Oryzias latipes: one gene and its partner. The protein of the gene in region 2 interacts with the protein of the main gene of each other region in a biochemical or structural test. Links are inferred from orthologs where the notes say so. Each region holds a gene or a part of one and is shown on either strand. Other genes may lie near its edges.

Evidence for each region. The genes of interacting proteins can lie anywhere in the genome.
Region 1: the proteins of ncoa6 (region 2) and rxra form a complex in vitro, tested with the Homo sapiens proteins (5 studies listed by BioGRID). The link is inferred for Oryzias latipes from reciprocal best matches to the Homo sapiens genes NCOA6 and RXRA.

The regions. Positions count from the first base shown.
Region 1 is NC_019870.2:23,012,093-23,018,778, forward strand, and holds part of rxra (retinoic acid receptor RXR-alpha), read left to right. Parts: intron 1-2,425; coding exon 2,426-2,517; intron 2,518-4,618; coding exon 4,619-4,724; intron 4,725-4,948; coding exon 4,949-5,096; 3' UTR 5,097-6,686. UniProt on the Homo sapiens protein: Receptor for retinoic acid that acts as a transcription factor.
Region 2 is NC_019865.2:14,776,550-14,783,235, forward strand, and holds part of ncoa6 (nuclear receptor coactivator 6), read left to right. Parts: intron 1-349; coding exon 350-505; intron 506-594; coding exon 595-717; intron 718-916; coding exon 917-1,036; intron 1,037-1,154; coding exon 1,155-1,979; intron 1,980-2,097; coding exon 2,098-2,229; intron 2,230-3,771; coding exon 3,772-5,056; intron 5,057-5,143; coding exon 5,144-5,262; intron 5,263-5,409; coding exon 5,410-5,816; intron 5,817-5,914; coding exon 5,915-6,148; intron 6,149-6,253; coding exon 6,254-6,686. UniProt on the Homo sapiens protein: Nuclear receptor coactivator that directly binds nuclear receptors and stimulates the transcriptional activities in a hormone-dependent fashion. Coactivates expression in an agonist- and AF2-dependent manner.

The DNA.
Region 1 (6,686 bases), on a different chromosome or scaffold from region 2:
AGCTAGCTGAAAAACAGACGTACTCTCCTCAGCATCATCAGTCTGAGCGGATTCAAGATGGAATGTTTTGGAAGTTACTGATATACTTTCTGTAAAATCTTTACCAAAAAATGCATATGCCTTTTTTTAAGACACAATAATTTCAAATGTTGAGCAACACATGAAAAAAGAATTGATGTGACATGATCTTTCAGTAGAGAAATCTCTGCTGAAGTTTTTTTAGGAGTTGATGTTGGTCATTATCAAATAGAAAATGATACATATTTTTGTGTTTATAATTGTTTTTAAAATTTTAAGTTAATAAAAAAAATCAGCTAATTTTTTTTCTTCATTAAGATACCTGGCTGGCTTCTTAAATAAGAAAAAGGTTTTACTTTTATTTTTTTTACTCAAACATGATAATGGAAGCATCATGATGCGGGCTGGTGAGTCTGAAGAGTTGACCCAAAACCAACGCATTCAGTTCTTAACATTTTATCTTATATAGTAAAACCACAAAATCGCTGCCATAACCTCTGGAGAGTTGTGTGAAAATGCTGAAGTGACCCAGAATTGAACTGAACAATTAAGGATCTCTGATTATGGCCAGGCATTCCCAATCCAACCCAAACGGTTCTGCCAAGAACGTCGAAATTTCCAAAAGAAAACTGAGCCAAGCTCCTACAGTCATTGCCAAAACAATGGAAAAAGAAGTCCAAAATAAAACAAGCAAACAAAAAAGAAAAAGATTTCTGAGGTGTTTGCTTTATCGTACAAAAGTAAAACTTTGATGTGTTTGAGAGCAGAGCTGGAACCCTTTGATCTGCCCGGTAACTAGCATTTACAAGACCTATGCTATCTTTTCACTCAGTGTGGCAGAGATGAGGATTCAGGGTAGTGATTAGGCTTCATTACCTACTACCGTCTCTCTTTTGCCCATCCAAATGAAGAAACTAATGAACTCACACACTCCAGTCACCACTTCTGTCTTCCCTTTTTTTTCCTTGTTGCTCTTTTGGTTTGGAGCAAATTGAATTGTGCTGAATTAAGAGCAGCAATTGACCTGAGACTCCAAACGGGAGGGCAAGAAAGAAACGGACTAAGATGCAGTCATAGAAGGGGGAGCAGTTTGAGAGACACACCCACCAGTGATGCCATACAAACTGTCAGCTACTGAGCTCCATCCTTCATTTCCAAAAAAAGAGTAATAATAAATTATATTCAAAAAAGTCTATTTTTGAATTAGAGACATTTGCCGCATTAGCGTATTCACAGTACCTTGCTTGCAACACCTAAAAAAACAGACTGACAGCCCTAAACTAACATTAGTGTGACAATGTCAACTCCCACCTTCCTAGTAACACGTAAAAAAAACAGTTTGACGCTGCTACATGTTAGCTACGGTAGTTTATTCACAATAACACCCAGCCTTGCTTGCAACAGCACAACCAGAAATAATCCATATATAAGGCGCTCTGGATTATACGGCACACTGTCAATTATTGAAAAAAATTCAGACTTTTAAGGGCATTTTATTGTGCGGAAAATACCGTAGTAAATTTTGGCTTTTTAATTGGAAAAATCACAAAAAAATGAGATCAAACAGTTTTTAATGTTATAACAAAGATCAAACTTGTAGAAACAAAATGAAAACATTTCTTTTAAAGAAAAAAATCAAAGACAAATTCAAAACAATGTGAAAAATGTCTAAAAACCAAATAGCTAGCGGCGGCGCGCGCGAGTGCAGCGGCTCTCAGCTCTCCAGCATGGCTTTTTGTTCTATTGTTTGTATTTTATTTACTTTTGGATTTTTGCTACGCCGATTTTAAATACCACCGCCAGTAAAAGTTATGTAGCTTGTACATATGTATATTTTCAGTTAAACAGAATTTTATAATTCTTTAGAAGATTACCTATTTTTATTGTTTAAGCAGCTGGAGAGCACCGGAAATTTCGTTGTCACAAGTTTCTTGTGTAACAATGACAATAAAGGCTTTCCGATTCTGATTCTGATTCTGACTCTGATTCAATGTTCTAAGGATTTATTCAAAGGGTGTCACAATGATGTTTCAGAAATCTAGTTATGTTTGTTTTAAACCAAAAATGTCAAAGCTAAAAACTTTAATAAACCTTCATGTTCAATTTGGAATGAAACTGTACTAATGTGTGGCTGGGCATCATTCCTATATTATTCTACACAGTTGATGTGATTGTTCTTAGACTACTTAGGGCTAAAATGGATGCAAGCTTCTCCTGCAGCTCAGATTGGACCCTTTTAGGTAACTCCAGAAAACTCTCCAGCAAAGTCTACCACTTAAGGTCAAATGGCTTCCTGTGGTCATAGCTTTTCACGCTGGATGTTTGACATGACACGATAGCCGAGTGTTGAATTTTAATGAACCCCACATCTGACTTTTTCTTTCTTTCTTTTTGATGTCTTTTGCAGAGTTCTGACAGAGCTGGTGTCAAAGATGAGGGACATGCAGATGGACAAGACAGAACTGGGGTGCCTTCGAGCCATTGTTCTTTTCAACCCAGGTAACTGTGTTCGTATGGAAGATTTGTATATAGTCCCAGTCTGATCATCGCTAAAAGCTTTCCCAGTGGTTTTTTCATTATGATATTGTCATTTTTAGCCAAAATCCAAAAAACTGTTGCTTTCTAGGACATAGTTTCTGCAGAGCGATAGTAGTTGGACAGTAGTAGTTTGTCTCTGAGTTGTGGGCTGGGCTGTTAGTGCAAAGTAAGCCGTCCTCATTTCCCGTCACCCATTTGTTGAAACCCTTTCCTGCTAGCTTACAGCCCCTCACACCCCCAGCCTAACATTACCGATGCAACAAAAATGGCGAGCAAGACTAAAGATAAGAAAAATAGAAATAGGTGCAAGTTTACTCTTTTAGAGAGAAAAAAGTGGAGAACGCTACACCCTCTTTCCTCCTCCCTGAGTGATCCCAGGTGTCAAACCCACCTTTACCTCCTGTTTTTCTGCAGCTGTTGGAGTGGAGGCTCTCCTTAACTCTGCTCTTATCAAAACCCAAGACTCATTTTAGTGCCGTGAAAAAAATCTCCCTGCAAAGATTCAACCATGAATTTAGAAAATAAGATAAACACCCTTTGAGTGAGAGCTTCGTGAGGCCTTTGCAGATATGCTTAACACCCCCTCCACACACACACACACACACACACACACACACACACACACACACACACGCACACCCCAATCTTCTAAACTGCACATACTGTCCAGGCCACATGCAGGCCCATTGGCCTCCGGTTCACTTTTCCATCCGGATCCTCCTTAATTAGCGGTTTGCGAGACTGGTCTGACTGGGGGAGCAGAGGGGTTGGGGTGTGGAGGAGAGGAGGTGCCAGTGAGGCTAAAAGGGCCCTCAGTCCTTCCTTTCCCACACTGGCGGATCTAGTCCAGCCATTAAGAGCAAATGTTCAATAATTGCTGGTCGATCGCACAAGGCTTTGTTCATCAGAAATGTTAATAAATGATGTGTTTGTTTTGTGAATCAAAGGCGCGTCCTTCACTGAAGCTTAAATTAGCACAGCCTTAATTGAGGTAACCCAGAATGCGGTGACATATGTTCATGTAGAGCTGTGAGGTTAAAACTCAATGAGTGAGCTGTAACCCCCCCTCCCTCCCCCCAACGTTGTGGGGCACAAAAAAATAAATTCATTAAAGCTTTTATTTACCAAATAAAAAAATGAGTGTTGCAGCTGTCTTTTAGTTTTCTTTTTAATATTCACGCTTGTTTGTAGGTCATTAGTAAAAGAATATACATGACAAATAATGTAGTCATTTTGGTATTATTTTTCTAACCTAAATATATATCTGTCATGCAGTTATCCCTCTTTTAAACATATCTAAATACATTAATAATTGATGTCTTTCTTACTTTTAAAATGAGAAGCTGTACAAATTGCAAGACACTGATACTAAAACACGGTTTTTAAAAATGAGTCCTTGCAAAAAAGATGGAAACGTTTTTTCTTTTTTTAAATGTTGGTCAAACATCTTGGAGTTCAGCGGGATGGAGGATGTTTTCAGGGTTCTTACAGAATTCCCATTGAAGATCGGCATGGCTTTTTTGTAACCTCATTTTGGATTTGATTCAAATAAGAGAAGAATTGCACTACAAAGTTCCCTCGTTTATCTTGGGAGTAACGTTCTGAAATCCATGATGAAGGAATATAGATGTTTTACGGCTGTAAAACCCCTCACTATAGACTTTTCTCAGACAGACATGAACATTTTTAAAATTCTCTGCCCTGTTTAAACTCTCAAAGTTCAAACTTTCATTGAAAATAAGTCCAGTTATTGAATGAAAGCAAAGATCAGTTTGATGGAAAATGTGTGTAGATTTGGTAAGTATTCTGTACAGGAGACACTGCATGGAGGAGACTGATTGACAGGTCAACTGCGCTGTTTAAAACAAAGCATACAAAATGCTCTAAAACAATTGGGTGGGCTGCATTAATTTTTTTTTACATTTTGAAATCTTTCAATAAAATTAACAGCAAATATTGTAGATTGTGGATTTGATGGATCAATATAGATTCTCTAAGAAAAGATTCAGCCTAAGTTTTACCCACTTTGGTGACTCTTATTTCCGTTTCTGTGTCTCTGCAGACTCTAAAGGTCTTTCTAACCCTGGTGAAGTAGAAGCCTTGAGAGAGAAAGTCTACGCATCCTTAGAGGCCTACTGCAAACAAAAGTACCCTGAGCAGCCGGGCAGGTGAGATGATCCCAAACGCCACTGCAGAGGTCTCTGCGGTGGGTTGCAGGGTTTAAGAGTCTGCTACTTATTTCCTAAGAAGCCCCTTCAATCTTGAGTCACAAAAATCACTAAATATGATACTACCTCCTTTTTTTTGCAATAGAATAATCTCAAACAGATGAAAACTCAGAGTTGTTGCAGGGTCTGCGTCAATCACGGTGTCTCTGTTTTGTGTTCGTCAGGTTTGCCAAACTGTTGCTGCGGTTACCGGCGCTGCGCTCCATCGGCCTCAAGTGTCTGGAGCACTTGTTCTTCTTTAAGCTTATCGGGGACACGCCCATTGACACCTTCCTCATGGAGATGCTCGAAGCACCGCATCAAATGACATAATAACCGACAGCCCTGCTCTCTTCCTGTCCCCTTCACCCCCCTTTTTAAGTCTTCATCAAGGGACAGACATAAAGACTGTGGATGGAGACCCACCCTCTATCTCCATCCCCTCTACCGCTCTTGGATGGGTCTCAAAACCTAAACTGCATCACGCTAAAGGGTTTGTTTTATACTTTGTAAAAAAAGCTATAAATAAGAAATATATATAATGAAAATAGGTCAAATCCAAACAGCAACAAGAATGACATCAGAATGACATCAAAGGACTAGGAGGAGGACAGGTGGTGGACAAGCAGCCGTATTGAGCCTTTGTTTTCCATCTCTGCTACCAGCCTGACAAGAAAAAGCAGTAAAACCGGCAGGTATGCTCACCTGAATGATGTCACTTTTGACGAGGACAATCCTAGACTCTCCACGGGATGTTTTGACTCGGACCTTAGTGGGCCCTGGTTTTCGGGAGGAGACACACGCTCCGACCGACCGACCACTGCTGAAGGGTCAGAGGTGGTCTAACGAGACTGCAAATGCTCACAAAGCTCAGGTCTCCGCCCAGCAAATCCAACTATGTCTTACTGTATCAGCACTGTGCAAGGATGTCTGAGTAGTCCACTAACTAACCCTTAATAACTGACGGAGAATCGTCTGCAATGTACAATCCATGCGGCTCTGCATGCTGCTCCACTGGCTTTACGCTACAGCGGCAGGCACAGGGACTACTTTTGTCCGAACCGTTTTCTGTGCAGCGCATTTAGTTGTCTGAAAAGTGATCCTTAATATCGGTTCTTCTCATTTCCTGTGAACACACCAGACTGCACATTCAGAAATCCAAAAATCACCTCATATCTACCTGTACGGAAAGTTACAAGTGTATACAGGATGTTTGTTTGTTTTTAGTTTTCACTGTAACATTTACCTCTGTGTCCAAACCTTTAGCATCCCCTCTATGGGAGAAGCGCTTGTCTGCTGCAGCAGAGTCACTCTTTTGTTTGTTTGTCTTTTTGTTTGCTACTCGGCACTTAACCTGACGGCAGAGGAGACGACTTGGCACTTCTACAGACGACCCAAGTGTCATTCGATCTGAACTGCAGAGTCAGATATCTCCATGTTCTGTATAAATGTGCTAGACGCCCATGTTTTTTTACTCTGTTTTTCTCAAAACGTTGCAGCTTAAGACTATGCATGGAGTGCATTTCCAAAGATCGTCCACAGACGTATGTAAATGTGTGAGGTGGGCGTCGGCATTGTTCAAAGAGTTAAAGGTCAATCTGTTCTGGTTCTTTCACCCCAAAATGACAAGCATCTATTGAGGAATAGCTCTTTTTGGAAGAGCCTATCATTAGATTTCTTGGCAGGACTACGATGATAAAAGTACTAAAAATGGATTTCCATCTTGCACCTTAACTCATCTTAAAAAAATAAAGAGTAACAAGACAAACGGAAGCACCATTGTTTCCTCCGAAATTCACATTTCTGAGGAGCATGTGGAGCTTATTTGTGTTTTCATGAATACATAACCAGTTTTCACAACATAAACTGAAAGTGGCTCCATGAAGAATCAACAACAAAATTTCATGTGAACTATTATTTAAA
Region 2 (6,686 bases):
ACATGTCTGAGGGGTTAATCTGCCATATTTCAAACTTTGTTCTTTAGAACTACTGATGAGCAAAATGTTTGACTTTTAGGTCATTAACGTGAAAAGAGGATAAGTAAATTAAAAAAAAGTAATTAATTAAGTGCAAATTAACTATTATAAATGTATGGCAATGTCTGATATTTTTGACAACAAATATGACGTACATGCCTCCTAATTAAAAAAAAGTGTATTTTCTATTGATGTGGGTTGTTGAATGACATGATGTATGTCCATCTTGATCTGTTTTAGCTAGTCGGAGGAAGAGAAGAGACTTGTGAGTTTGGATGCTAATGATGTGGATACAATTTTCCATTTGTAGGCTCAGAAACACTGCAGCCACAGCATGTGGAGCCGTGGAACAGTGTGCGTGTTACCTTCAACATTCCTCGGGATGCTGCAGAACGACTCCGACTGCTGGCACAAAACAATCAGCAGCAGCTTCGAGACTTGGGGATTCTCTCTGTGCAGATAGAGGGTAACAATCTTTTTTATGAAAATTATATATTTTTTAATTAAACCTCAATCATAATTGTGCTGGATTTTTTTCCGTGTCATTAATTTTAGGGGAAGGTGCCATCAATGTGGCCGTGGGACCAAATAGAGGTGCAGAAGTTAGAGTGAATGGACCAATGGTTGCACCTGGTCAAATGAGAATGGACAGTGGCTTTCCAGGCCAGCCTGGACCAGGTATGGATTTGCTGAACTAACCTCCCAAATGACTTCTAAAGGCATCATTTTGACAGTATTTCCTGTGATTGTAAACAGCTGTATGTACAATTAATCTAGTTTAGTTGTTACTGATTCATGACTGTCTTCAACCCTTAATATCAAGTTGTTACAAAAGTAAAAATAAAAACTTTGTTTTTTGTGTGCTCCTTTTGACCAGGAGGGTTAAGGATGCCTAATCCATCAATGGTTCCTACTGGACCTGGCATGGTTGGTCAGAATATGTTACCAGGCAGTGGACAGATGCATCCTCGCATCCAAAGACCACCTTCACAAACAGGTTCAGGTTTAGGTTTTTATTTTTCTTAAATGAGGCACATTGATGTCTATATATATATATGATCTGTATGATGACTTGGTGATAATGTCATAAAAGTCTAGTCTTCCTTATTCCATAGATGTGATGGATCCAATGATGCCAGGTATGTCCATCCAGCAACAGCAGCAGCAGCAGCAACATTTTCAGCACCAGCAGGCTGGTCTCCATGGCTCAGTCTCTATGCCTCCTCAAGCTGCCCATCACATGCAAGCTCTGCAGGCAGGCAGACAAATCAACCCTGCTGCATTGCAGCAACTACAGCAGCAGCAAGCCCAGCAGCAAGCTCAACTCTCCCAGCTTGGACCTCGACCTCCATTCAATCCTTCGGGTCAGATGGCTGCACCTCCTAACTGGAATCAGCTGCCCTCTGGCATCTTACCACCACCAGCAGCCCAAGGAGGTCCAGCTTGGAGAAAACACCCACCTCAGCCCCAGATGGTTCAAAGGCCACCCTCCCTAGCTACTGTACAGACCCCCAGTCATCCTCCACCCCCTTATCCGTTTGGCAGCCAGCAGGCTGGGCAGGTGTTCAATGCCATGGGACAGGGACAGTTACAGCAACAACATCAACCGGGAATGGGCCAGTTTGCTGCCCCTCAGCCTAAAGGCCAACAGGCTGGACCTGGTGGTGTCACAGGACTAACTCGCCCCCCTCCACCCCTTCCACAAACTTCTGGACCACAGGGCAACCTCGCAGCTAAGTCGCCTGGATCGTCTTCATCTCCTTTTCAGCAGGGCTCTCCAGGTACTCCTCCTATGATGGCTCAGAGACCCACAACTCCACAGGGTTTTCCTCAGGGTGTTGGTTCACCAGGAAGAGCAGCCCTCAGCCAACAGGGCAACATGCAGCAAGGATTCATTGGAATGCCCCAGCATGGACAACCGGGGGGCCAAATTCACCCAGGTTAGTAACTCTGGTTAGTATTTTGTTGTTCCAATGGAAAAAAAAACAACCTGTCAAAGAAGTTCACTTTTTCTTGATCATCTTTATCCAAAATGACCATTGTAATCATCAATTCTAGGCATGGCAAAGCGTCCCATGGGTTTTCCAACATCTAACTTTGTTCAAGGTCAGGTGAGTGTTAGCACTCCAGGAGCTCCTGGTGGAGGAGCAACTCAGCAACTGCAGACCAACCAAGCAATGTCTCAAGCAGGTAAAACTTCTACAGATCTCTAAACAAAAAGAAAAATGCTTGTTTTATGATGTAGAAAGTATCTGACTTTACTTGCTGCAGGTAGTGGCTTAAATGCTGTCTGCTCAGAAACTGAGGGTGGAATTCTCATAGGGAAGTTTCGATCAACCCAGAATGGGAATTACTATCAGAATAGCTCAGACTGGTTAGAGAATTTGACATGGCATCACATTTGTATCACATTTTCACTTACTTCACTTCGTTTTCTGTGCTGTAGCACATCAAATGGTACAACACACTTCATGCAACAATTCCCATTTTGCAACATCATGTTGCACAATTGAGCATGTTGTCTACCATGTTTGATGCCTTAAATAATTACCTAGTTTGAAGCGATGCGGCAGTTGCAGCTCATTCCAATTCATTCTTAATTATGCTTTGTCAACACTTAATTTGCTATTAATAGCTTTAGCCTTCACACTGAAAGGCTCGTTCTTGTTTTTTCTTTAACTTCACTCATTTTAAAATGTTTATCTGGTATGTCAGTGTCACATTAAGTTTATTTAAGATTACAGGTTTTCTATTTAACAAAAGACACGTTAATGTTAAGCTAAACACTTGGTTCATCTAATGAGTTGGAGCAAAGTAAGAGTTCTCAACAGAAAATAGAAGAAAAAGGGGAAAACAAGGATTTTAAATCAATCGAAGAAGTCTACATTCAAAAGCTGGAATCCTAAAGCCCCACTCATATTTAGAGCCATTGTAAAAGTGTTCCCAGTGATATTTTAATTACGATTTTCAAAAAACCTGTGTTGTTTTCTTGAACATAGTGTCTGCAGAGCAGCACTAGTTAATTAGAAGTTTGCCTCAGAGTTGTGGGTGGGACTGTTGGTGCAGAGCAAACGCCCTCCCACTTCCCGTCACCCATCTGTTTACCACGCTCTCCCACTACCTTACAGCCCCTTACATCCCTAACCTGACAGTACTTGTGCAACAAAAATGACGAGCAATATTGGAGCCATCCAGCCGTACAGTTTAGAGCCAGATGCCAGTTCAGACAAGGAAAATGAAGACGTACATGGATCTGTGGTTTATAAGTAGATGCATCAGAATGGAGAGGAGCAGGGAACTTGTGACCTGCCAATAGGAGCTTCTATGTCACAATAAGCTCGTAATCAAACAGCAGTTTTTTGGTCTGCTCCTCATTTACAACAGTTTGAAAAAAGATACCCAGAAATGCATTTTTGAGATTAATTTTCTTTTTTATATATGGCCTCCATCATGAGAAAAAGGTCAAAAGCAAATGCATTAAACACCAAAAACACAATATTTTATTTGAGTAAGTCTTTAACAAATGAATTGAAGCTTGTCTCTGTGTGTCACTTGGGATCCATTTTTCTTAAATACACCAGTCTTCAATAATTATAGTAGTCTATTTTTTTCTTTTATTAGCAAACCCCTTTTTATTAGCTTTATATGTTTTTGTTGAGAACTATTTATAATTTCAGAATTAACACCATGATATATGCAACCATTTATGCTATCCTTTGTATTTTACATCAGGGCCTCAACCATCACCTTCCACTCCCAGCTCAATGCAGGGACCACCTCATGTTCAACCCAATGCCATGGGTGTGCAAAGCAGCATGGCAGGTCCAACCCCATGCACAACTGCTGGACCTAGTATGGGTCAGCAGCAACCTGGCCTCCAGACCCAGATGATGGGCCTCCAGCATCAGGCCCAGCCTGTGTCCTCCTCCCCCAGCCAGATGGTACAAGGTCAAGGTGGAGGTCAGACTGTCCTTTCAAGGCCTATCAATCAAGGCCCGAGAGGTGGAATGACCCCACCTAAGCAAATGATGCCACAGCAAGGCCAGGGGGTGATGCATGGGCAGGGTCAGATGGTTGGAGGCCAGGGGCACCAGGCCATGCTCCTGCAACAGCAGCAGCAAAACTTGATGATGGAACAAATGGTTGCCAACCAGATGCAAGGAAACAAGCAGGCATTCGGAGGCAAGATTCCAGCTGGGGTTATGCCGGGCCAGATGATGCGAGGCCCATCCGCAAATATTCCTGGTAACATGGGGCAGTTCCAGGGACAGGTGCCCCCACAGCAGATGACTCCACAGCAACAACAACAGATGGCTCAACTACAACAGCAACAGTTACAGCAACAACAGCACCAGTTGCAACAACATCAGCTACAACAACAGCAACACCATCAGCAGATCAGTCAACAACAACAGCCACAGCAGGCTCCCATCCCTAATAATCCTAATCAAACTATGGGTCTGCATGGGCAGCAGATGAGACTACCTGCTGGCCATCATCTCATCCAACAGCAGCTACAACAGCAGCAGCAGCTGCAGCAGCAACAACAGCAGAAACAGCAACAGGCAATGTTGCAACAACAGCAACAAGCAGCTCAGCAACACCAACATACCATTGGGGACCCAAATAGTGGCACAGGTGACTTGGGAGTCCAGCAAATGGTCCCAGACATGCAGGCGCAGCAGCAGCAAGGCATGATGGGTGGCCCTCAGCATATGCAGATGGGAAATGGCCACTTTGCTGGTCATGGCATGAATTTCAACTCTCAGTTCTCAGGTCAGATGCCAATTGGAGGGGCATGTGGACAGCAAGGTAGTTTTCCCGTCAATAAAGATGTTACACTGACTAGCCCACTGCTGGTCAACCTGCTGCAAAGTGACATATCTGCCAGCCAGTTTGGACCAGGAGGAAAGCAAGGTGCTGGTGGAGGAAATCCAGCTAAACCTAAAAAGAAGAAACCACCACGCAAGAAAAAACCCAAAGAGGGGGATGGACAACAACAAGTAGAGGGGCTTGGGTAAAACATGTTTTCTTCTTTCATCAGGTCCTGTGTCAACAGCATATTCTTTATTTAACCAAATAAACTTTTATTTTATCCTTATAGAGGTCTTGATGCTGCTGCTGGTATGGAAGATTCTGAATTGCCTAATCTGGGTGTGGACCAAGGTTTGGGTTTGGACAACGCTGGCCAGAAGCTTCCTGATTTTGCTAATAGACCTCCAGGTAGTCAAACTAACAAAACACTAAACTTAGTTCATTTCCTTGTTTTGTTGTTAAAACAACCAATATACTAAAATGCAAATGCTCTTTTGTTCTAAAAATTGTACATTTATCATAATTTATATCACTGATCTGTTTTATACTTCCAAGGGTTCCCTGGTCAACCTGGAGAGCAGAGGGTACTGCAACAAGCCCCCATGCAGTTTATACAACAACAACAGCAGCAGCAACAACAACAACAACAACAACAGATGCAGCACATGCAAATACAGCATCAAATTGCACAACAACAGCAGCAATTGCAACAACAACAGCAGCAAATGCAACAGCAACAACAACAACAGCAGCAGCAACAACAACAACAACAGCAGCAGCAGCAAATACAGCAACAACAATTGCAGCAACAGCAGCCGATGATGCAGATGCAGGGGCTCCAGAATGCTCAAGGATCACAGATGATGACAGGGCCACAAGCATCAGGTCAAGGTCAACCCCAGATGCACCCGCATCAGCTGCAGCAGCAGCAGCAATCTCAGCAGCCACACCTACAACAGCAGGTAGACTTTTGATTTGGTATTTTATCCTAGATTGTTTCTTTTAATTCAGGACGCACTTTAACCACCCGACTAAACTTTAATCTTAATTTCTTATCAAGCAACAGCAGCAGATGATGCTGATAAAAATGCAACAGGAGCAATCAAAAAATCGCATGCCCATCTCCACTGGAGGACAGCTTCCTCCTCGAGGAATGGGCAATCCTGCAGACATTCAAAGGCATCCCAGTTCACAGCAAAGCAGCATGCCTGTAATGATAAGCCTGCAAGGTCATGGCAGTGTACCACCATCCCCTGATAAACCCAGAGGGATGCCTCTGATGGTAAACCCACAGGTAAGGGGTGATTTTTAGTAGTACCATCATTTTCATATTCCCATCCCATCCTCTGATTCTCTTGGAGGAAATTTTAACGCAGATTATATTTCCTTAAATTTCTAGCTTGCAGGGGCTGCACGAAGAATGTCCCACCCTGATTTAGGGCCGGGGGCTCAAAGCTCTGGATCTGAGGAGGCTTCTGTAGGTGCCCACTCAAAACAAGACAGACAAGGGGGCTCAGAAATTGGTTTACAGCCAGGAAATGGGTCCCAACAAATTCCAACCAGCCAGGTCTCGAACACACACATGATAAAACAAGGGCCTGGTTCAACACAAATGCCTCAACACACAGGATCCAGTCCCCAACAGCAACTACCCACGCTGCCTCAACAAGCAGGGCACATGCCTGGCCATCATTTCCCCAATGTTCCTACAACTTCACAGAGTTCAAGGCCTAAAACTCCGAACAGAGCCAGCCCCAGACCTTACCACCATCCCCTCACTCCATCAAACCGTCCACCGAGCACTGAACCTTCTGAAATTAATCTTTCACCTG